Linked DNA regions of Rhinolophus ferrumequinum. The protein of the gene in region 1 purifies or fractionates together with the protein of each later gene. This does not show direct contact. Links are inferred from orthologs where the notes say so. Each region holds a gene or a part of one and is shown in the gene's direction. Other genes may lie near its edges.

Evidence for each region.
Region 2: the proteins of MAGOHB (region 1) and PYM1 purify together in Homo sapiens (co-immunoprecipitation; 3 studies listed by BioGRID and IntAct, with this or other methods). This does not show direct contact. The link is inferred for Rhinolophus ferrumequinum from reciprocal best matches to the Homo sapiens genes MAGOHB and PYM1.

What each region holds. Positions count from the first base shown.
Region 1 is NC_046293.1:26,240,297-26,252,495, reverse strand, and holds the start of MAGOHB (protein mago nashi homolog 2), read left to right. Parts: upstream 1-6,946; 5' UTR 6,947-7,020; coding exon 7,021-7,114; intron 7,115-9,374; coding exon 9,375-9,433; intron 9,434-10,113; coding exon 10,114-10,224; intron 10,225-12,154; coding exon 12,155-12,199. Other genes in the region: tyrosine-protein kinase STYK1, read left to right, coding at 1,924-2,128. UniProt on the Homo sapiens protein: Required for pre-mRNA splicing as component of the spliceosome. Plays a redundant role with MAGOH in the exon junction complex and in the nonsense-mediated decay (NMD) pathway.
Region 2 is NC_046293.1:55,334,202-55,347,269, reverse strand, and holds the start of PYM1 (partner of Y14 and mago), read left to right. Parts: upstream 1-7,909; 5' UTR 7,910-7,972; coding exon 7,973-8,129; intron 8,130-13,068. UniProt on the Homo sapiens protein: Key regulator of the exon junction complex (EJC), a multiprotein complex that associates immediately upstream of the exon-exon junction on mRNAs and serves as a positional landmark for the intron exon structure of genes and directs post-transcriptional processes in the cytoplasm such as mRNA export, nonsense-mediated mRNA decay (NMD) or translation.

The sequences.
Region 1 (12,199 bases):
AAGTAGACCAAATCCAATGCAGGTACAGAGTATTTTATTCGTTGAAATGTCAGTCTCAGTCAGAGACCGCCAGCCTCAGTTCTAATATAATTGCCATAAAATCCACTGCACTAGGTTACTTACTGGCTCTTATTTAATATTTAACTTTTAAAAATTATCTATTTTTCCAGCTATAAGCACATTAGAAACCAACCAGAGGGGCGGTAGGAAGAAATTAGAAAGGCAGGAGAAGGAGAATCCAATATTGTCAGCAGAAAGGGACAGCTGGTGAACCAATACAGAGCAAAAAAATGGAAAAATTTAAAGTTGTGCACAGAATTTTATAACCAATAAAATACAAAAAGGGATGGTTATAGGACATAAGAAAAGGTTTAGATTATTTATAAATGTATATATTAATATACATTTTCATTAAAATTGTAAATTTTGCAAATTTTTCAGCATCAAAAGGGTAAATTTCCAGTACCTGGGTTTCCCTATAATAAACATTTACTATATCAAGCAGATTACAAATGTTAACTATCGTAACTATAAATACACACACATACACACACACACACACAAACACACACAATATAGTGATACTGGCTGGGTATACCAGAATGAAATTGTTGAAAAATGTTTCTTGCAAACTTTCTATGTGTAAAAGGCTGTCCTTGACACTGGGGGGAGACACTTAACTGATAAAATACCTAATCTTGAAGAAATTAACATTGGATAAGGAGATACCTGAAAAACATGAAAATCAACATAAAGTGTTAGGTAGTAAATAAAATGGTTAAAAGCTCAGATTCCTCTCATAGAGTCAAAAAGACACATGCTCAGTCCTAGTCCTGTTATTTTACTGCACATTGTTTACTTATCTTAAAATAGGTAAAATGATAATCCTACCTTTGTTATTGTGAGGCTAAAATGAAATAATGCATGTTGAGTTCCACTTCCATGCCTTATATAATAAGTTCTTGGTAAATGTTAGTAGTGTTAAAGTAGCATCTTTCACAAAGTCTTATGGTACAAGGTTAATGAGCGTGGGAAACATGGTGGGCTGAGGTTTATAAGGGAAGGTTTCATAGAGGAATTGAGATTTAAAACAAACCTAGGGAATGATGACGACAGAGAAGATTTCAAGGCTTTGGGCATAGCATGAGCAAAGGCAGAGCTGGGTGTTAATAGCACATGTAGGACATAGCAAGACACTGGGCTGGAGGAGAGGGCTTCAGTTAGGCCAGGCCTGAGTGGGAGACAGCTGGGGGTAGGATGTCGACATCATGTGGTAGGCGGTGGAAAACTGTTGGTTCTTGAGCAGGGTATCATCGTACATGATAAAAGTATTTGAAAACAGATAGCATTATACATTCTCTAAACTGGATTGAAGAAAAGATGGATTAAAGTATTTTTATCTAGATTAAGGCAATTTCCTGAAGAAGCTAAATTATAAAGGGGGGAAATGACCTCGATTAACGGAAGGGAACACCTAAAAATTAGTATGAATCATATTATTCCATAACTTCTTATTTTCCTGGCTATAATGTAGCTTCTACTGATACATAAATTGTAGCAATGGTCTGGAATGCTACAAGTTAGTAACATCTAAAGGTGAGAACACTTGACTTCTGAAAGAGCATTTGGCAATAGAATGGGGGAGGAAAAACCACAAACTGTTCTGTCATACTGATTGTACTCCGAGGAATCTTCAGTCATTACTATTATAAAAAGGGTGCTATTGAGAAGATGATTTTAAGAGACTAAGTATTAAGAGGACGAAATGAATATTAATCTCTGGGAAGAATATGAGAGACAGGACAATGAGAAGTAGATTAAAGAACTGTAGCGCTTTTTTGTTCAAGTTTGTTTAGGAGAGGAGACGTGTTTCTCATACACTTGCCTGGTCAGGGAAGTCAGTGTCTCTCATTTCCCTTGCAGGTATGGTCTTATGAAGTCCTGCTGGCGCTGGAGTGAGGACAGCCGCCCTTCCCTTAGAGAGCTATGCTCACGCCTAGAAACTGCTGCTCAAACTGCAGATGACAAGGCTGTGCTGCAGGTACCAGAGCTGGTGGTGCCTGAGCTGTATGCAGCTGTGGCAGGGATCAGCGTGGACAGCCTCTCCTACAGCCACAGCTTCCTTTGACAATCCCAGGGCAAGAAACATCCATGGGTGATCATATACTCTTGGAACCAATTTCTCCAAGAACAGAGGATGGACTTTCTAATGGGACGTAAAGAGAGAAAGAGGACATGGATCCTGGATTTCCCCCATACGTTTCCCTAGATATGTGAAGTGATGCTGGGTGAAACTCTACACGCTGCATACCCTTGAGGCTGAGAAATACAATTTCATTTCTGCTGTCCCAGTCTTGAAGACTCAGGGTAGAAGTGGTAGCCAGTGTCACTGCACAGGAGGTTTTAGAAATCTGTGATGTTTGCTGGGGCACAGTACAAATAAGCTGGTTGCTCCCACCACAGGCTAGTTTCCTCCTGAAGGATGCTTTTATCGAGGCTATTATAAGGTCCACAGAAATTAGTCAAATGAGGGACTAGAAAGCCAATAAAGAACTTGATGAGAGAAAATTAAAGGTCCTTCTATTTGCTCAGGAGTATAGATGTGGACTAAGGTCATCCTTCAAAGTGAAGGTGGAGAAAGGATGTCACATTCCTCAGTCCTGGCCCCTTCATGCAGGGCTGGAGGAGAACTGTGAAGGAAAACTTCTGAGTTTCCCCTGAGCGTAGGTAAGAGAAAGATAGCCCCCTTTTCCCTAATAGTAACACAGGTAAACCCTGGTGGTTTTACTTTTAACGAGAACCTGGAGGGATCATTTTATGATTAGGAACATTCAACATGTGTTCATCAGGCCAGCTTCCTGGTCCCTGTAAGACTAAGGAGACGGAGCCTGGAGAGTCAGGCTCATGATGAATATAATGTGTGTGTTTAACAAATAGGGAATGTGGAAATCAAGCAAGAATGCTTAGTAGGCCAGAAGGTCTTTAACAAGGGCTAGCAAAGGACATCACCTGAGACAGAAGGATGGTAGCTTCTGATTTTCAATCATCTGCTGATGTATTGTGAAACTTATTTCATTACGTTAATATTCACTGAGTGAAAGTGGGCTTTTCTAGTATACAGCTGCTAACATCTTGACAATAGGGAGGATAAAAGTAAATAAATGGAAGTTAACGTCAACAGAAAAATTCAAGAGGCAATCTACATTGGCAGAAAATGGATAAATGGGGATAATACTTACCTCACAGGGTTGTTGTGAGGACTGAATGAGAGTATGTATTTGTACAGTATCTGGCACATAATATGTACTCAATAAATGTTAGTTTCCTTTTTCCCTTCCTATCCTAGAATCTTTCATATCTTTTTTATTTAAAATCTGTGGCTGAGAAGCGAACCTAGGTTTGTCAGTCACATTGCAAGGCAGGGCCTGCCTAAGGATGATGGTGTGGTACAAGCACCACAGGACTAAAATGATGAAGTAATCATTTCTGTGTGAGCTTCTGGAGGATGGGAAGAGTCTCCTCCTATTTCAAAACACTGAAAATATCACGATGATGACAATTCAGCTGGACATGTGATCTGTGATTTTAAAGAATACTCACTCGGGGTACTCTGGGTGGGACATCTAAGGCTGTAGGAAAGATGACTGGCAGTTGAAAATTTCATAAAAGTTAGACTCCTGATGGAGTCATGATGAGTCATCCAACTAAATAATGATTCTTGTACCTGTAGGAATACCACAGTGAACTAGTCAGGATTTAAAGGGGTGGTAAGTAGCAGTAGAGAGAAGGAAGGTTGAGTGGCTTGGCACAAAATGATGAAGTCCTCTGGAATCTCATTGTTGTTTCTTGGCTGTTCATTTAAGTCAAATTTACAAAATATTTATTGATTTAAATATTTTTTAAAAAATTGAGTGGTAAGTTTAAGGACAACACTGTTATACGTTGTGCTAGGTGTTGGATAAAAGGAACGGAGAGCTTTTGATTACAGCCTAGAAAGTAAGAGACATTATACACTTATTTATGTGGGCATTTGTACATTACAAATTGAATAAACTGTAGTGGTGATACCAGTAAGCATGCCCTAAATTGAAGCCTACAACCACTGAGATTGAGATTTCTTAATGTTCGAAAAATGTTTTCACTATTTCCAGCCCAAGTAAAAGTGTATGAAACGTGTCTTATATAACTTCACTGTCCAACACCATAGCCAGGGGACACATTGCATTTAAATATTAATCTAAATTCACACAAATTAATATTTTAAAATAAAAAATTCAGTTCCTCAGCCTCACTAGACACATTTCAAGTGCTCAGTAGCCATTCACAACATTTCCATATTTCTGTTGTATAATATCCAAGACCACAAAACAGCTTATGTTTTATTACTTTGCAATCCTTATACTATGAGAGAGACACATTTTTGGCTTTTTTTTTTTTTTTTTGCTAAAGATATGAAGGATTAATATATTTTCGCAATTCATTTTAAAAACAGGATTAGAGAGGATTAGTCTTGACCGCAGAAGTCTTTTCAGGGCATAGAGACAGTAATTGGACCACAGAGAAAGATTTTAACACTGTGCATTCCATAAGCTCTATTTACAGTCACAGATCTGGTATCTGTAGCTCTGTTTAGGTAAACATGAATGCTAGCATATGTGTCAAAAATCTGAAAGAAATGCATTAGGGAATCTAACGAGATTGAATGAGGCTCCCTACAAAAAACAAACCAAATGGATTACTGCCTGTATTTTCATAGATACTGTGGTCAAATTTCTGTGGGTTATTCTTGTAATAGGTACAGTGACTGAGTCATCCCAGCTTACCTGGGGCTTCCCAGGTTTTAAAACTGAAAGTCCCACATCACACAAAACTCCTCAGTCCTGGGCAAACTGGAATGGTTAGTCGCCCTAGTGGTAAAGGATGGTGCTTTATGTTTCTTATATATTTTCCCTAATGGCAGCCTGTACAGTAGGAATTGAATAATTTTCCTATGTAAACACTGATGCAATGGTTAATACAAACTACTATATTGACAGTTACATAATCGTTAATATAGAGTCAACATAATCCGGGCCAATCTGCCTTTCTAGCTATTCCACTTTCATGAACTTCATGTTCTAACTATACTGAATTTCTTGGCCTTCCCAAATCATGCTGTCATGCGGGGTGTCAGGCGGGGTCTCTGGTCCCGCTCCCCACACAAGAACGCAGGACATGGCTAGGCCAAAAAGGAACACCCACGGAGCCATAGGTAGGGGAGTCATACCACTGTATTCTCGCTGGCGGCTGTGTTGGAGAAACAGGAAACAGGAGCAACACAATTCTCAACCCTCACTGCGCCGCTTGCAGACTCAGCCACCATCTTCTTGCTAGGCCCCCATTTTCTGCTAGCCTAGCCACGGCAGTTATATTAGTGCCCAATGGCTCACTGGTTACAGCTGACGGCCAACTAGCCACAGCTGATGGCCATTTGATCACAGTCGATGGCCATTTACTACCTGAGCCAGCACCTTTCTATGTGAGGCCGAGAGCCTGGAAACTGCTTTTTGGGGCTCTGTCCCCACACATGCATTTTCACACCACTGTGCCTTTGCTCAGGTTGTTTTCTTCCTGGAGTGCCTTTTCCATCCCTCTGAACATATAGTCAACTTATCCCACAAGGTCCAATTCAAATAGCACGTCTTGTCACACTAGGCTTCCCCGATACTTCCCTTTCTTCAGCTTCCTGTTCCCCAATAAAGTGACTTGCTTCCTCTGCTGTACTACCAGCATTAAAAAAAATTCTTTCTAACATTTGCTTCCTTGTGCTAATATGTCTATATGTTTATTTTCTAGACTGCAAATGCAAAGGCTCTATCTTTTTATTAACAGTGTCTAACCATTTCTGGCACATAGGAGTACCTGTTAAATCTCATTATTTAATGCTTTATACATTTTAAATCTATTTTACATGCATTATCTCATTTGGCCCTCTCAATTCTGTGTGCTTGGCAAAGTTGACTGTAGTATATTCATTTGGTTGATGGAAAAACAGACTTAGAGACAGTGACTTAACCAATGTTAGGTAGATGTAAGGGTTGGGAATGAATCCCAGGTCTTCTGTCTGCCATTCTTCCTACTAAACCCCACTGAAGGTCAAAAGTCATCAACAGGATTACTCTATGTGTTGGTAAAGGAAGGATGATCAATATTTGAAAAACAGACTTTGTGTGAAAGCTCACCTGGCCTTTGCCCATCCTTCTAAACCCTTTGGTAAGCATCCCTCCCCTCCCCAATTTATTCTATTTGGTAAGAAACGTGGGCTAAACCATTTGACCTTAAGTCACATTGCCAAAACTCCTCAGGCCACTAAAGATTAACCTTTCCTTAATGAAAGAAGTTTTACTATTAAAAGGAACTCTTTTATACCATGCCTGTCGGGATTTTCATTTTCAATGTGCCTTTCAAATTTTCAGACCTCTTGTCTGATGGATTCTACCTTGTCTCTATTATTCATAGGCATCAAGTAGCCGGACAGCTAGCACTGTCCAAAGGGGAAAGCCCCGAGTTAGGAATCTAGCAGGAGAAAAGGGTTTTATTCCAGATCTATCATTTCGATTCCGGGCTTTATCTGGACTCATCCCCCCAGTTAAAGGGGAGTGATGCCACGCCCACCTTTTCACAGGATGCCGCGAGAAATCGAGACCCGAAAACTAAACGCGCCTTGCAATTGCACCTTAGTTGTAAGCCGATAAAAAATGCTATCATATGTTCACACTTTTGTCCTTTGCTATTTACGATTTACTTAAGTTTGAAAATAACATGCCTCTGTCGCCAGTAAGCGAAGTTCGAGTCGTTGCGACCCTTACTCCGCTGGCTTCGGGCCTCCTGTAGGAGCTGCAGCCTCCCAGCCCTCCTCTGGGGAGTCCGGAGGCAGAAGGGGCGCGCCGCAGTGACGCATTTCTCCCGCGCGACTGACGTCACTGCTAGGCGCCCGGCGGCGAGTAGGCCAGGCCTTCGGCGGGCTTTCTGGAGACCAAGATGTCTCTGGCCAGCGATTTCTACCTGCGCTACTATGTAGGGCACAAGGGCAAGTTTGGACATGAGTTCCTGGAGTTCGAGTTTCGGCCGGACGGTGAGCGGAGGAGCGGCGGCGGCCGCCGCCTTGCAGCGCGGTGCTGGGCCTGGGGGAGCGGGGCGGAGAGGCCGCGGAGGAGGCGGGGTGGGGTGGGCGAGCCCCTGGGGTGGGCGTGCAAGTGTACAGTGAGGGCTGAGGCCACTGCTTGCGCCGAAGTAAATGGGAGCTTGAGAATACAAGAGGCATAAATTATTCACAAAAGAGGTGTTGTGAATAAACGAGAATTAATCGATGTAAATTAATTCCGAAAAGGTAATCCTGCCAGATACTACAGCTGAACCTACGGTAGTCAGGATCCTAGACTCAGCTCACCGGAAAGGACCGGAAAGGCCGTCTAACGTATCGACCTAATACTTGAACGTTTTAAAGAACATCCCCCAACGTGCGTTGATTTAATGGATGCTTAAAATCTTTTGGTGGCCAGTAACTTTTGGATTTACCCATTCATCCGTTTTATTCATTCAGGCATTGTATGTAAGGCAACATGTCTAGAAAAACGAATGAGGCGTCCTCTGAAGGGGAAGACCAACGTGTAGAAAAATGAGTGTAATGGTGTATCTTTATTGTGGGTGCTTCAATACAGTTGTTCTCTATAGTATGAATTAAAATTAAAAAAGGAGAGTGGTTATAACGTTCTACATGAAGGAGCGGGGAAAGCTTCCCAGAGAAGGTGACAGTTGAGACGATCTGGAAATAGATTATTTTCTTGGCCTCTGCAGGAAAAACAGCAGTGAGAGCAGCGTGAGCAGAGGGCGAAGTAAAACTGCCTGCTGCCCAGGAAGTGTACAGCAGATTCTATTTTTCCTCAGCTCTGATTCTCTAGAGAGTTTTATTGTATATTGAACTCTTTTTGCAACAAGCTCAGTCCGACTGCATAGACTTTTCTTTTCTGAATGCATGGTATGTGCTGGGCAGCATGTAAATACAAAAATTGAGGGTACGGTAGTGGTTAAGACTCTTTAATTTCCCACAAGGAGTTACATCTTGATGGGCAACACATACATGAAACTAACCATAAAGCAGTCTGGCTATTAAGTGCTGTGTTCGTGTTTTGGACAAAGTTCTGTGAGAACTTAGGGGAGAATCACATATTAGAAAAGGGGAAGAGTATCAGACATTTCAGGTCACTACAGACCTGCAATTATTTAGAAACCTTAATCACCTTTTTCTCTCCTGTTTTCCTCACGTCTGTTCTAAATTTAGCTAAGGAGCCAATTTACCTGAATTCTCCATCTGTTGTTTCCTTAGGTGATGTTTTTTCAGTGCTTTGGCCTGGGAATAGTTTTCAGCTTGTCCTTAGCCAGTCACATAAATTAAGTAGTCTAATGTTATCAGGGAAATTTCATGCCCAAACAGTGGTTCTCATCCATTTATCAGCTACCACACCATGCACATATTTCCATCAGTAATAGTGATTCCTAAGGCGTTCACCTCATTAGGTTAACCTATCATTTTAGAGGGTCAGGAGCACATTACATCTGTACCTGGGCAACTAATTAGCCATAAGGGGAAGTATGCATCAGGGAGTACAAAAGTCATAATGGATTAAAATTAAGTATAGATTAGCTAACAAACTGGCCAACTTTTATCCAGAAGCAGCAGATAGTTTGTGTGCTTCCTAACCACAATTCTGAAATACTACCATTGCCATATTATCATACGTGCATTAATTTGAAGGAAAATAATTACTCCAAATTTTGGAGTACTTGGAAGAAGGTATATCTAGAGCTGAATCTCGTGTTACCCTGGGCAAATTACTTAACTGTTTTCTCAATTATCAATAGGTGTGAGAATAAAACCCACTTTTTAAGGTTGTTTAACTGATTAGATTAAATGCTCTGGGCTAATCACTTGGTACCAACACAGACACAAACTTTAAAAGAAGAGTTTTTTCTCTTTTCAGATTCCCTGTCTAGTTTAGGACATAGCTTAAGAAAATGGGCCTTAAAAAATGGCCTTCCCATTATACTGAAGGTATAGAATATTTAAAAATTATATTGAATATTTAGAAATTATATCAAAGGCATGGAATGTTTAAAAATTTGACTAGCTTCAACTGTAGCCAACTTACCAGCAAATCTTTGTGTGCCTACATGTCTAGCATTAATCTTATGCTGAGAGGGAAGAATTATTAATAAAAGTAGTAGTATAGTATGGTCTTTATCTTCAAAATTGCTTACAGTGTCATTTCTTTATTATTATTATTTTTTTTAGCAGTTTTTGCTGTTATAGATTGAATTTTTTCCACTCCCCACAGGAAAGCTTAGATATGCCAACAACAGCAATTACAAAAATGATGTCATGATCAGAAAAGAGGTAAGATTTTTTTGAATGTCCAGTTTTTTACATTTGCCATTTTCCTTAAGTCTGTGTTGAATTTACAAAAATACATATAAGTCCGTATTGTAAAGAATCCAATTTATAGATTGAAAAGTGATTCAGTTTAAATTAGATCTAATCATAGCATCTGTAACAACAAAAGAAGCAATCTGAATATATTGTTATAGTCTCATATTTGAACATACCATTTAATTCACTTCATAATTAATTTGTCTTTTTACTCTATTCACTATTTAAAACAATGATCATGATTTAAACACAATATGAATTTTAAATGAAAGGCTCCAAAATTAGGGATAAAAGTTCAGATCACTGTGATGTGTTCTAGTATTTGTCTCTGTTCACCTCAAATTTTGTGTTGTCGCTATGAATCACTTGGAGATATTTGAGTTCCATGTTAACCAAGGCAGAATACAACGGTTTAAAAAGGGGCTAAGTGATGTGACGAGGGAACAATATATATTAAAAGAAAAGGGCAAGAGAGAAGAAAAATCCTAAGAAGGATGAATGATTCCCTCCCATCTTGTACTTTGGAATTAAGTTTTTCTGTGATATTCTATTTGAATATTTAGGATTTTTAACTCCATTTTATCATTTCCTTCTGACCTGTGGGAAGAAATAGGCATTATGAAATTTTTATTGTAACTTGTTTTCAGGCTTATGTACACAAGAGTGTAATGGAAGAACTGAAGAGAATTATTGATGACAGTGAAATTACCAAAGAAGATGATGCTTTGTGGCCTCCTCCTGATAGGGTTGGTCGACAGGTTCGTATTTAGGGATTCTTTAAATGCATAAATATTAAAAATTGATAATATAACTGTTATGTTTCTCCTTATTTAGAATAGATCCTCACTGATTCTTTAGTTTTTTATTTAGTAGATACCTAGTAAATACGCTTTAATTTTCTTTTACTTGGTCTCATTTTTTGTGCTGCTTCCTAGTAGTAAAGGAATCCATGTATAACTGTAAATTGAGACATCTTTCTGAACAGTCTTTGTGGCAGCCAGCCCAGGTTAGGATGTTTTCACACTGTTATGGATAATTTCTATTATATGTTAACCACTTTTATTAGAAATAAGTACAGGTGTCTGTGAAATTGGAGACAGGATTCTCATTGACCATGTAAAATTTACTTTCTCTAAATTTATAACTTTGAAAATTCTTATTTGTATCTTTCTGCCCCAGAGAGGGATTTGATTGGTTTCTTTGTTCAAACTGACCACTGCCTTTGCCTCTCATACTCCCTTCAGAGTAATTAATGTTTCTTAAAGGGCTTCTGAAGAGATCTGAAGGCCTAATTTCACTCTGTTGAAAGACAGTTTGATTTCTGAATTGGATCTTTTCAACTCTTGGAGAAATGCAATATGACCCTTGGAAGAAGAAACATAATTTCACTTTTGTATATTCCTGAGGATTATACGTTGTAACACCTTTGAGTAGAAGAAAATGTATGGAGAAATTTTAACAGATGTTGACACTCTGTAGCAATAACTTAACTCTATTTAAAGAAACATTTAGGAAAACAAAAGTAATAGTAAAGAGTATTTTATGCATTGTAAACAGTTTTAAAACACAAATTTTGATCTCAGTTTGTTTTATGCATATGTACATATGTTCTAAAAAACAGAAACAACAGCAATAAACTGTTTATCTCTTTTAAACTCAGGAAGCGCCCAGTATTTTCATCAATCCACTTGATGTGATCATGTGTTTTGGTATTGGGGAGGATTTGGCATGCTCCAGAAATTGTCTATTGGATCTTTAAGTCAAATATTTTATGATTATTTAAGAACCTTAGTTAATTATTTTGTGTGTGCCATAAACTGTGCATAATTAGGTCTTCTGATCAGTGATGTAGCTAAGACTGTCTTGAATGGCGTGCTATTTAACCTGAGAAATCACCACACACATAGCCTCTTAATTGTTGGTTTTAGATTTGCAGATAAAATACAGAGAAAAATTTGTACAATAGTTGTGGCACACTGGGGACATCTACATTATGTTGTATTTGTTTTACTAGTTCTTAATTTTAATGTTTTGTGAAGTCAAAGTGTATGAGTCTTTCAGTCTTACAGTCCAGGATTCAAATATTAGTACCCTCACTTATTGGTGGTTGTGAATATCAAGTTTTTTCCTATGCTTTCTGAGTCTTGGATTTCACAGTTGTAAAATACGCTTACCTCCCAAGCGTATTTCAGGGATTATAGATAATGTCTGTAAAGTCCGTAGCAGCAGAGCCTGACACATAGTGGGTACTAAAGTGGTGCTGTTATTCATATTATACATTTTATCTTTAGAGCCTGGTGAAAGGGTAAGTGTGTTTATATTTATTATATTAAAAAGACTTAGATCATATTATTTTTACAACACTGTGCTTCAGAGTGATGCCAATAGTTTTTACTGACATTACATGAAACATTTATTGTCACCCTGAAGTATGTCATTCATTTTATAGTATCTTTATGAGATCTCTGGAGAGGAGTTTTGGTTAGTCCTAATACTGGGGACTCTTGAATAGGTGATCAGGTTTTTATTTTATAGACATAGTTTATGTCTAACAGATCAAATGTCTTTTTTTCTTTTTCTTTGTTAGAAAAACTGCAGCTAAAATTGGGACTTCTCAGTAGCAAGAATACAGATATCTCTGGGATGAATTTTTATATTAACTACATCTCTCTATTTTATTTTTTTCAGGAGCTTGAAATTGTAATCGGAGATGAACACATTTCTTTTACGACG
Region 2 (13,068 bases), about 29 Mb from region 1:
CTCGGCTCGGGAAGGGCGGGGACCATGGAGCGCGAGATTAGGAGGAGGTAAGGGGAGACTGAGCATCTGCCTGACGTCCCAGTTCCAGGAGGGTTGAGCTTAGGGGGTGAGTCTCGGATTCTGGGGTCTTCCTTCTACCCTGCTAGGTTAGCCAGCAGTATTTGGGGAGCACCACCTTTCAGCTATGAGACCCAGAGACCGAGGAGGAGCCATCACGTGCATCATGTTGACCAGTGGCCCGGGGACCAAGTAGTAGAGGGCAACTTGCCTTGAGGATTCAACAACAGCAATAACAATATCTCACGTTACTACAGTAAAGCACCGTTTTGGAGTTAAACAGAACTAGGGTTAGTCATATCTGGGTTCCATTTTTAGCTCTGATACCACTGTGTGACTTGGGCAAATTACATTTGTAAAATGGGGAGAACGATACCTATCTTTCACAGTTGTGGGGAGTAAGTCAAATAATGTATTAAAAGTACCTATGGTGTTTCCCCGAAAATAAAACCCAGCCAGACATTCAGCTGTCATACGTCTTTTGGAGCAAAAATTAATATAAGACCCAGTATTATATTATATTACATTATATTATATTAATTATATTATATTACATAAGACCTGGTCTTATAGTAAAAAAGACAAGGTCTTACATTAATTTTTTCTCCAAAAGACACATTAAAGCTGATTGTCCGACTAGGTCTTATTTTGGGGGAAACACAGTAGTATACGGCCTGGCATATAGAAGGCCTACAAAAAATGATAGTTATTGTTGTATTATCAACTAAAATCAAATCCTATGAAACAGAAAATTATTGGCATAGTCATTCTAGAGACGAAGAAACTGGAGCTCAAAGAGGCTGGGACTTCCCAAGGCAGGTAACAAATGGAGGAACCAAAGTTCAAACCCAAGAACGGTGTGGCAGAGCCCTGGTTCTCTCTCCTCCTCTTGTTCCACTCTCCCCTTTAGTCTCACAGCCCTCCTTTCTGTTCTGTTCTGCAAGCACACTAAGTCCTTTCCTGCTCAGGGCCATCAGACTTACTGCTCTGTCTGCCAGGAATACCCTTCCCCATTCTTGGCAGAGCTGACTTCTTGCCTAAGCTGAGATGTCAGCTCCTCAAAGAGACCTTCCCTGATCCTTCCCTTGTAAAGTAGCCCCCTTCTTTGCACAGCACCCTCCTTTGTTTCCTTCATACAACTTATCACAAGTGGAAATTATCTTGCTAATTTATTTTCTTCCTTGTTTACTGTTTGTCTTCTACCAAAATGTAAGTTCCACAAGGGCAGGAACTTGTCAGTCTTCTTCACTACTGTATCCCCAATACCTAAAACAGTGCCCAGCATGTTATAAGTGCTCCATATTGGTTGTACAAATAGTTGTGCAAAGTTAGGGAGTTTCACGTTTTGGAAATATTAACCCAAATATGGTTAAATGAGATGCCAAAGTGTCCATTCTGCTACTAAGGATGAGGAAATTTGGGGCACATACAGTAGGTGTTAAACACATGTTTGTTAAATGAATGAGAGATGCTAAAAAGCACTTATATTGTACTCCATCCAAGACTGTGACCTTCTTCCTCCTCTCTGCCCACTTACTTAGGGCTTGTTGGGTCAAGCTCAAGGAGGCCGTCAGGACCTACAAGAATTTCCTTTCTGACAGTGCAAGAATCTTCTCTTTAGCCTCGGTCCTTGAGACAGCTCTGCTGCCCACCTCTATGTAGCACACCATTCCTTTTCTGGGGACTCTCTGGAAACACTCAGAAAAGGGTTCTGGGACACTGACATTCTGGAGAAAGGACTCCACCCATCTGGCCCTTTTCAATGACTATAATCTCTAGTGACAATAGGTGTAGTGAATACATAATTGTCTTATGGCCAATGGGGCCTGTATGGCTTAATTAGCTGCTCTGATTACTCCTGGGGATTCTTAGATAGCTCCAAGATTCTAGGAAATGGAACCTGAGAGAAAGTGACAGGGAGAGAGAAAACAAAGGATGGCAGGACATGATACTTCTCTCTTGTCTCTGTTTTCAAAATGACCCTTCCTATCCCCCAGGTCTGAAATATAGTATAAAGGTTAAGAGAATGGACTTTTGAATTAGGTAGGCATGAATTAGAATCCTAGCTATTGGATGAGTTATTTCATCTCCCTGAACCTGTTTTCTCATTGGTAAAATGGGTACGTAGAGAAATCAGTCACAATGTGGGGATTAAATAATACATGCAACATGTTTAGCAACTGCATGGCACAGAACTCTATAAATGTCAGTTGTTGTTGTTGTTATCATTATACAAGGGTGGTACCTAAAGAAAACACATCTGGAGATCAGGAAAAACAATGCCTTTGACCCAGGTATAAATTCTAGGAACTCTGAGCATGAGTGAAGCCCCATTGTACACCTCCCCCCCCACCCCCCGTCATATCTCAGGCACAGACATGTAGTATCAGGATTCTGCACTTTGCCTGTGGGTGAGGAGGTGGCTAGAAACTAGATTATCTGTGTCTAAGGACAGCCCAGGGCTAAGACCTTGGACATAGCGCTCCTGGGATTTTTTCAGTTGTCCTCCTTACTTCTCTCCTCGAAAGTTTAGCTGCCCCTGTTGTTGAAATGCAGCTAACTGCAAGACCCTGGGACCTTTAAGACCTGGAACAAGTCCAGTTTTGTCCTCCCCACTCCATCCCAACCCTGAGGCTATAACCTGGGCTAGTCCAGGCGACTGCCAGGGCTGGGAGGGTGGGGTCTGCTGCCTGCCAGCCAGCTATTTGTGACTCACCCTTCCCTTCCCTCCTCTGGTTTCCCTGCCAGCCCCTTCCAACTTGGGGTGAGACAGTTAGAAATTGACTTGGAGACAGAATCCTAGAACATCCTCAGAGCTAGGAGGCACCAACTCTCAGATTTTACAGAGGAGAAAAACTGAGGCCCAGAGAGAGCACAACTCTCTCAGGGTCATGCCCAGAATCTACATATCCTGTCCTTAGTCCACTCCATTCAATCTTAGTGTTTCTGATTTTCTAGATCTTATTTTAAACATCAAATACTAAAATTGCTGGTAACCAAGAGATAAATATGATTTTCAAAGCCAGTGCTAAAATTTAGTTTTCTTTTTCACTTCAACATTCATTGCTCACATTCCAAGTCCCCCACGTTTACTGTTAGTCAAGAATCAGCTATGCCCCCAGAACATTCGGGCTGACCCACCACGGAACCCCAAGGAGCAGGCACTCCTTCTTGGGCCCAGGTTTGATTACCTGGACTTCTGAATCCCTTAACAACACCAGGGCCTAAATCCTCCTCTTCTTTTCTGGGACCCAGGGAGGGTCTATTCTTCGCTGCCCATCCCTGCTACTAGTTTAGTTAGTGGCCCCTGGGAGGGACTCATTTGGCTTGAAGCCTCAAAATTCATTAAGCCTCCACAAACCTTACAGATGGTAGTGTTGCCTGATTAAGGGGGTGGTGTTTGTGTGTGTGTGTGTGTGTGTGTGTGTGAGGGGGGTGTCATTGTGTAATACAGGAGGAAGTTACCATGTTGGCACAGTTGAGGCATGTGGGCTCGCTCATTCGTTGTGAGGCTGAGGAGATGCCCAGTAATATTTGCATTTTTTCTTCAGTAAAGCTCATTTCCCCCATTTAAAGGTGAAAAGCGTATTCAGACCCAGGCAGTTTCAGAAACTTTTCGGTGACAGGTGTGGAAAGGAGAGTGGTGGGAAGTTGGGGACCAGGAGGCCAAACAAGAACCCTTCTCCACCGCTGCAGCGCTCTGGAGATTCCAAAACGGACTTTCCTTGGACTCGGGTCACTGGGAGCCTAGCTTCACCATCCCTCCGAGAGAGCGGGAGGGATGGAGGGGAAGGTTTGCGGGGAACGCTGCCTACGGGTTCTGGCCCAGTCCTCCCGCTGCCCCCGCGTCCTGGCGCAAACCCTGCTAGGTATCTACCCGCTCCAGCTGTCACGCTTCCTCCTTCTCGGCCCAGCAGCCCTACCCCAGCCCGCGGGGAGTCCCCTCCTGCGACCCCCGCCCCTCCTGCTCGTGAGGGTAGGGCTGGCGGCGGCCGGGGGCTCGCGGGGTCTCTACCTTGCCTGCCGAGGGCGCGCGATCCGAGCTGAAGCACGACGCGGGAGCTGAAGCCCGACCAGGGCTGGAGGGGACGGGCCAGGCAGACGCCGCCGCCGCTGGGCCGCCCCGCTCCTGACGACACAGCTGCCCGCCCCTCACCCCCGCCCGCCCGCCGGCGCCAGGCACCCCCAACTCTGGAAACTGCCAGTCTGGAGAAGCCTCAGTTTCTATTTCACCAAACCTCATCCCCCACCCCCTCCCACGACTACTCCAGGGCTCTGGTCTGTGCCACTTTCTCCACATCCTGAGCTTCTCATTTTCTTCCCGCCCCGGGACCAGCTCTGTTTCTATTTTCCCTTCATTCCAATCACTCACAGCTTCTTCCTTCATTCCGACCCTGGAGTCCAAGATAGGAGGCAGGGCTGTTGATGGGATAGCTTGGCCGCTGCCCACCCAGCCAAGGTCTCATCCTCTCCTAATTGCTGCCATCTGGGGACTTCCCTTTCCAACTGCTTTCCATCCACCATTGACTTTTAAATTCATACTCAGGAGATTTCACAGCGGCAAGGCCAGAGTTCCAGACTCCACATCCTGAGACCTGAACAGCTCCCGGACCATGTGCTCCACACTGCTTGACACTACCTGTGAGAATCTGCCCACCTCCAGGTTCTTCACCTCGCGAAAATGTCTCAGACTTGTTTTCCCAAGTCTAAGGACATCTTCTTCTCTCAAGACTCAGATCTTTCCCTTAATTCCTGGGGTGGAGGTTTAGGTACAAAGAACACCCTTTCTTTATGCCCAACCGTCCCATTTTACCTGCTGGCCTTGGTGGGTGGTGTAGAAGGCCCTGGCCAAAAGAGAAGATGAAGGAAGATCCTTCCAGCTTCTCCAGTCTGGAATCTGTTCTGGAGTTAAGGCTCTGGTGGCAGCATGGATGGTGGTGAAGTTGGTAGAGCAAGGTAGAGAAACAGAGGCCTAGGGACTTACTGGTAGGAACTGGGGACCCAGGCATCCTGCTCCCTGGCCCCGCCCCAACACCGTCTAACCCCTTCCTACCCTTCATTGAAGTAGGGCAAGTAACAAAGTCTAGAGTTCCTGGAATCTTCCCTTTTACACCTGGTGGTGGAAGAAAGGGGGAGGGGAGAGCTCTGACTGGAAGGATATATGTGTGTGTGTTGTACACGTCGTGTGCACACACACAAATACACACACAGCCTTTGGTGGAGGAGAAGGAATGAATTCATGAGGACCTCTAGTGGAAACAGGGGGTTCTAAGCAGTTCTTGATTGTTTCAAGACAAGCTTGTTAGAAGAGACTCCTCCATTTTTATCAGAAATACAGCTGCTGAGTAAATTGGGTTTGAGGGTATTGTTGTTGCGTCTGAACTGGAGATCTGAGGCATGGGTTGGAGAAGGTCTGTCTCTCTGCTCCTGTGTCCCCTCCAACCTTAAAAAGACAAGGGCACTGCCACTCCCCATCCTTCATCTCCCCGTCCTATATGACCTCCTTAGTCATAAGGAATCATAAAAACTTTTGAAGTTCTATTTTGCATCAGGTCCTGTACTTAGTTCTGCAGGACAGCCAAAGACATAGTCTAGTTTAGGGGTTGCACCAAAGAGTGGCTTGGGGTGTGTGTGTGTATAGTGTCTCCCCACTCTAAGCCATCCTAAACAAACATATAGTGTAAGTAAAGAACAAGACCCCTAGCACCTCTTCCAATCCGAACCTCTCATCTAGCAATCCTGGAATGATACTCATTCTTAAGGCATCAAGCTTTCCTTGCAATTAACACAGTGATACCACCCTATATGTATGATCTGTGTTTTTCATTCCATCATCCTCAGATATGTTCCAACATGAAGTTAAAGAGGCTCCTTTTAAGACATTTTTGAAACTTCAAAGTGGGACATGAGGTGATCTCTGTAATAAGGAACAAGACAGAATCAGTCATATTCTCTGTGTCTTCTTTAGGATCTGTGCTCTCCATCATACACCAAGTGAGTTGTTGTTGGGGGTGGGGGGAAGAAAGGCCAAGAAACATCTCAGAAAGAGGCGTCTAATGCCTACAGTTCCAGGTGCTCATTTCTTTAATCAACCACATCATAAAAATCAGAAAGAAAGAAACCACAACGAACAAAGGGAAAGGAAAAAACAACAGCCTTCTTCTCCGCAGCCTCTTCTTTCCCCTCTTCCTCCTCAGGTGGGGGGCACATCCGGGCCCAGGGCTGGGTCCCAGGCAGATCTGCTAGGCAGGCAGTTGAGTTTCACTTCCTGTCAACCCCAGAGCTGAGGCAGGATGTCTGGGGGCACAGTGGAGGGCCTAGCGTTGGGTAGTTAACAAGGGCCACTTTAGGATTCCCTCTTGTACAAAGGTCCATAGAGCAGCCCACTAGTACTAATACTCCTCAGGTAGAACAGTCAAGACCAATGTATCCCTCTAGTTTTTAGGGGTTTCATCCCACACTCTCACCTCTAATCCTTCGTAACAGGGCTAAGGACAAGATGCTAGCTAGACCTGGCAGGGATGAAGCACAACTGATGAGAACAGGGGTTAAGGATGGCAAGTGTTAGAACACTTACAATAACTGTGTATTGAATGCAATCAGTTTTTTTTTAGTCTTTTGAGACGTTCTGAGTTGGGCCTCTGGTGGAAGTCAGGGAAGGGGAGCATAGGAAGGCAAGCTGTGACGCCAGAAAACTTCTGAAGCTTAATTTTAAAGCCTTAGGAAGTCCGTAGTCAGCCACTACTCTCAGTTTTTTGTTTTTTAAACTGGGGCACGCAGCCTTCTGTTGGAGATAGTCACTAGTACCCACTTTCATCCTCCTCCCTGGTTTCAGAGGTACTGTTGGGAATTAACCTAAGCCAATGTAAGGGATTTGGGGAAGGTAAACGGGTTGATAAGGAAAAAGCAACGTGGGTGGGGAAGGGCAGAGGTGACACCTGAGGAAAGGAACCTGCAGCTGGCCCCTCCCAGGCTGCAGGGGAAACGAGTTCAGCAGGATTTGGCCCTGAAGGAACAACAGCTATTGAGAAGAACTGGGGAGGGAGCACATTCGGGTTGGTCTAACGAATAAGGAGGCGCAGGGCAGGGCAGGGTTGTAAAGGGAGTGACAATGTGGGCCCGGATTATTGGCAAGTTGCCCCGCTTTCGATCCCGTCGCCCAGAGACTTGTACGAGGTTAATTAGAATACTAACTGGGTCCGCCCATAAGTCTTCACGCTGCCCTCTGACCCTGGGGCCCAGCCCGAAGAGGCTCCTGGGGCCGAAGGCCAGAGCAAACTTAAGCAGTCGTCACTTCGCCGCCTGAATCCCCCGGGCCGCCCCAAGGGCAGGGCCAGGCCCAGGCTTCCTGCCCAACCCGACCCACCACCTGCACGGCATGGAAGCTGTCGGCAACCCTGAGACTGCGGGGACAGGTGACAAACCGGCAGCGCCCTCCACCTTCTCTCGCGGCTCTCAGTCCGGAGGGTTGAGCTGGGCGGCTGAGGGCAGTCCGCACGCGATTTCGACCTGCCCACCTTCTAAAAGAGTAGTGAGGATCTTTTATTAGCCTCCAACAACACTAGTGCGCCCCAGTGCGTTCCCGGAGTTTGCCTGCGCTGCTCCATGCCCTCACGCCGTTTTGGGACCTGAGTGCAGGCCAGAGCCTGAATATTCTTCCTTTTCTCATCTATCAGCCCCCCCTTTCCGGGTGCAGGTGGGCCTTGCCCCCTTTTCCCTCGCAGGTCCTGGTCGGATGAAGAGTGCATGTGAGGAGAGGGGCTGTGCTTAGGAACTTCTCTCGGCGCCCAGAGGACTGCTTTACACGCAGCAGACGCTCCATAATGGTATCAGTGGCAGTAAAAGAGCCCACGGCTTTTATTTTACTAAAGTCTTCAGCTACTATTCCTCCCTTCCTTCTTCTCCACCTCCGGTCATGAAATGGTGTACTCTCTCTTTAAGACTAAAATGGTGGCTTGCTACGATCAGAACTCCACTTCCGGTGGGGAGGGGGCGGGACCCCAGCCCGCTCACGCCGGAAGTGGTTTGCGTTTTCAAGATGGCGACTCCCTATGTAACTGACGAGACCGGCGGTGAGTGCGGGAGGCGCGGAGCCGCTTCTCTCCGGGCTCTCGGGGCAGGGGTTCGGACTTGGAAAGGGGTCTGTGCCCCGCCCATCCCGGGGCCCCTCCTTTGCCCCGCCCTCCGAACCGCCTTCCCCATTCATTCTCTCCCACGGGGTGTCACCTGCGCCCCCTTCTGGTTTCGAGTTTAGGGGTCTCTGCTTCCGGTCACCCAAACCCTGGGGTCCTTCAATGCTGGTCCCTGCTCCAGGACCCTTTCGGGCTCTTAGCTTTTCTCCAGCAGTTGAAGCTTCAATATTTCTTTTGGGTTCTCCAGTCTTGGGGGCTCCTACACTCTCAGTTCCCTCCAATTCCTGTCCTTCCCCTCCCCCCCCTTAGTTATACCTGCTTTCTGCCCTACCACAGCAACGTTTTAATTCTTTTTCTCGAAACTGTATCTGTAGAAGGTCTCATTGCTACATAGTGGTTTTTCCACTTTCTTCCTCATCTTTATTGTTGGGTCACTGAGGTACAGAGGTGTGAAGGGAAGAGAAACGTAATACAACTTTCAGCTGAGTTCTCTCCTTGATGGCCCCACCCTTCTCTACTTTCTTTGGTGATGATGATAGAAGTTGAGGGATCTAAGGTGCAAGAAGGCAAACCAGCAAGGTGTCTAGTGGCCTCAAGCCCTTTGATAATTTGATAGAATCTACTGTTCCTTATCGCTAGTGAAGAATTTCGAGCCTGGCTGATTGAGATGCTGAAGTGTCTGCTGTGTATGTGAGGTTTATGTGTTGAAAACTGAAAAAGCAAGGTTTTCATTGTCGTTTTGTCCTATCCGAATTTCCTCCTCTTTAGAAAAATTTGCATAGTACTGTCTATCCATTGAGGATCAAATAGGGTGGCATATGTGAAGGCAACTTATAAAATGCTGTGCAAGGCAAAGTATTACTCTTAAGTTTGTTTTTCCAGGACCCATCAGCTTCAAGTCAAGTAGTTGTTTCAATCTAGTTGTGGAGGGCACAGCTCACAGTGGCCCATGTGGTGATCGAACCTGCAACCTTGTTAAGAGCACTGTGCTCTAACCAACTGAGCTAAGTGGCCACTCCCACTTTTTTCTTTTTTGTAGCCCTCATTGTGTATATATAGTCTTCTCTGGAAGTGACACTATGTCTGTACTGTGCTACATACGGTCTGTTTTAAAATGTGCCATTTATGCTTCTCGCTTTGCTTTTTTTCATGTTCCTTAACATCCCAAACCACTTCTCTTATATCTAATGACAACAATCCTGTCATTCTCCAACCTCACACTTCAAAGTGGTACAACCTCTCCTCTCTACTCAGTAGGTCCTTCTTCAACTAGCTCCTTTTAATGTGTGCTTTGAAAATATTACTTAATTTCCAGTACACTTCTTTATTCTTACCTGTTTCCTTAATTTGATATAACGAAAATCCAGATGTCACATCTCACCCTACCCTCCCACCAAGGGGTGTCTTCTGTTTTCGGAGACCCATGTGGAAGAGGAGAAGGAATCACACTGCTTTTTTGCTTTCCTTTACTCTTTCCATATCATTGATCTACCACTGTCACTCTAATACTTGTGGACGGTATTGCCATGCAATTACAACATTTTCTCTAATACCCCAGGGCCATCTACTGCCCACAAGGACCCAGACCTATCACATCATTGTTGTTGTTTTTTTTTTTTAATTAGTTTCAAGTGTACAAAACAATGTAATAGACATTTCACCCCTCACAAAGTGATAAACCCTCTCTCCCGATCTATTGCCCCTCTGACATCATATATATCTATTACAATTCCATTGACTCTATTCCCTATGCTGTACTCCATATCCCATGACTATATATATATTAAATTATGGTTGACATACAATATTATTCAGTTTCAGCTTCAGGTGTACAGTGCAGTGGTCAGGCATCACATATTTTTTTCTCTACTCTGTTTCTGGCTCTCATTCTCAGTATCTCCAGCACAGCACCTTTAGGATACTCTGATCTTAAAGTTCTTCAGCATGAGACTATTGACCTTCCTTTGTGTTTTCAAACCAGCCACACATCACAGTCACTACAACTTGGACCGCACCTATGACACTGCTTCCCCTCCATGTGCTTCTCATCACTTATTTTAGCTTCCTTACCGGTCACCCTTTTCACTACCTCACACCCACAGAATCAGCATTTTGCCCTCCTTACGGTTCTCTGATTCTTAACTCTTTTCCACTTCATTGAGTCTACCAGAACCTTCACGACTACCCTTGATGTTGCCCTGGTAGACCTCTAACCAGCTAGTTTGATACTATCCTCATTGTTTTCTTTATTCGTTTTGATCTTCTATACTAAGCAAGCACTTTTGTTATCGTGAATCATACCCATCAATTGTTTTCTGGGCTTCTGCTTCTAGGCCACAGCATATGACTAGAGAACAGGCACAGAAGCTAGCAGGGTCTCTATAACTTAATGTCTGCCAATATGACAGCTTCTCTCTAATTCTTTTTTTCTTGGTTTGCTTACATTCTGCCATTGCTATTTCCCCAACCTTTCCCCTAGCTCTCTGTGACCCTTTTCATTCTACCTCTTGTGGCAGATGACCTCACTTTCTATTTAATTGAAAAATCAAGGCCCTTCATTTCTGTTACTTTCCTGTCCACCGCTTAATTTCTTCAATATCAGGACTATGCATATTATTTCCATTTCCTCACTGCTTATTGGTTCCTTAACTTTTTACAGTTTTTATTTCTACCACCAGCCTCTCTCCTGAGTTGCCAGTTCCCTTTTCTAATCGTGTGGTGAATAGACTTCATTCTTGGATATTCAGTCACACCTCAAATACAATCTGACCAAAATCAGTATCAGTTTTTCCTTCCTTATTTCCTTCCAATTGTTAAAGGCAACAATTATTCTACCCAATCCAAGACCAACATTTTTGCATCATTTCCCTCCCTCTTTCTCTTTTCTTCTTAAAATTTTAAATAGACTTTATTTTTAAGAACATTTTTAGACTTATATTAACAGAAAATTTGAAAAGATGGTACAATTCCCATATACCTTATACTCAGTTTTCCCTATTATTAACCTCTTACATTAGTATGGTATTGTTATTGCAATTAATGAACTAATATTGATACATTATTATTAACTAAAATCTGTACATTATTCAGATTTCCTTAGTTTTTACCTAATTTTTTTTTCTGTTCCAGGATCCCATCCAGGACACCACATTACATTTAGTTCTCATGTCTCCTTAAGCTCCTATTGGCTGTGACAGTTTCTCAGACTTTCCTTGTTTTTGATGACCTTGACAGTTTTGAGGAGTACTGGTCAGGTATTTTGTAGGATGCCCCTCTATTGGAATTTGATGTTTTTCTCATGATTAGACTGGGGTTATGTTTTTGGGGAATCGATCATAGAGGTAACGTGGCATGTTCATTATGTCATGTCAAGGGTAAATAGTATCACGATGATTTTTTACTGTTGATACTGACCATGATCACCTGGCTGAGGTGGTGTTTATAAGGTTTCTCTACTGTAAGTTGCTCTTTTCCCCTCTCTTTTCATATTGTACTCTTTAGAAGAAAGTCGCTATTCATAGCCCATATTTTTTTTCCTTTTTAAAATTAAAAACATTTTTCAGTTACAGTTGACATTAAATATATTAGTTTCAGGTGTACAGCATAGTGGTTAGACATTTATATAACTTACGAAGTGATCCCCATAAGTCTTGTACCCACCTGACACCATACGTGCTTATAGTTATTACAATATTATTGGCTATATTCCTTAAGCTGTACTTTACCTCTCAGTGACTCTTTTGTAACTGCCAATTTGTACTTCTCAATCCGTTTACCTTTTTCACCCTGCCCTGCAAGCCCCCTTCTATGTGGCAACCATCAGTTTGCTCTCCATCTGAGTTTGTTTCTGTTTTGTTTATTTTGTTCTTTAGATTCCACATATAAGTGAAATCATATGGTATTTATCTTTCTCTGTCTGATTTCACTTAACATTTCACTTAGCATAATATCCTCTGGGTCCATCCATGTTGTCACAAATGGTGTCACAAATGGTAAGATTTTATTTTTTATGGCTGAGTAATATTTATTGTATACATGTACCAAATTTTTTTTTCTTCAATTTTTGTTGGGGAATATTGGGGAACAGTGTGTTTCTCCAGGACCCATCAGCTCTAAGTCGTTATCCTTCAATGTAGTTGTGGAGGGCGCAGCTCAGCAACAAGTCCAGTCACCGTTTTCAATCTTTAGTTACAGGGGGCGCAGCCCACCATCCCATGCGGGAATTGAACCGATGTTGTTGACAGCCTGTGCTCTAGCCAACTGAGCCATCTGGCCATGCGCCCCACCCCCCCCAAGTTCAGCTTCTTCAATCTAGTTGTGGAGGGCGCAGCTCTCTGGCCTATGTGGGAATCGAGCTGGCACCCTGTTGTTCAGAGCTTGCGCTCTAACCAACTGAGCCATCCGACTGGCCCCCAAATATTCTTTATCCATTCGTCTTTTGATTGGAGCATTCAATGCATTTACATTTAAAGCAATTATTGATAGGTATGTAGTTATTGTTATTTTATTGTTTTCTGATTGTTTTTGTAGTTCTTTGTTGTTTTCTTACTCTTTTGCTCTCTTCTCTTGTATGTTGGTGACTTTCTGTAGTGTTGTGTTCGGATTCCTTTATCTTTATTTCTTATATATCTTGTCAATTTTTGGTTTGTGGTTACCAATGTGCTTCATATATACCAAGCTATGTTTATAGCAGTCTATTTTAAGTTGGTTGTTTAAATTCAAACACATTCTAAAATCACTACCATTTTTACTTACCACCTCCAAGTTTATGTTTTTGTCATTGTTTTTTACTTTTTTATTTATTTATGTGTGTGTGTGTTTGTGTGTATCCCTTAATTTGATGTTGCAATTACACGTGATCTTCCTATTTTTGCCTTTT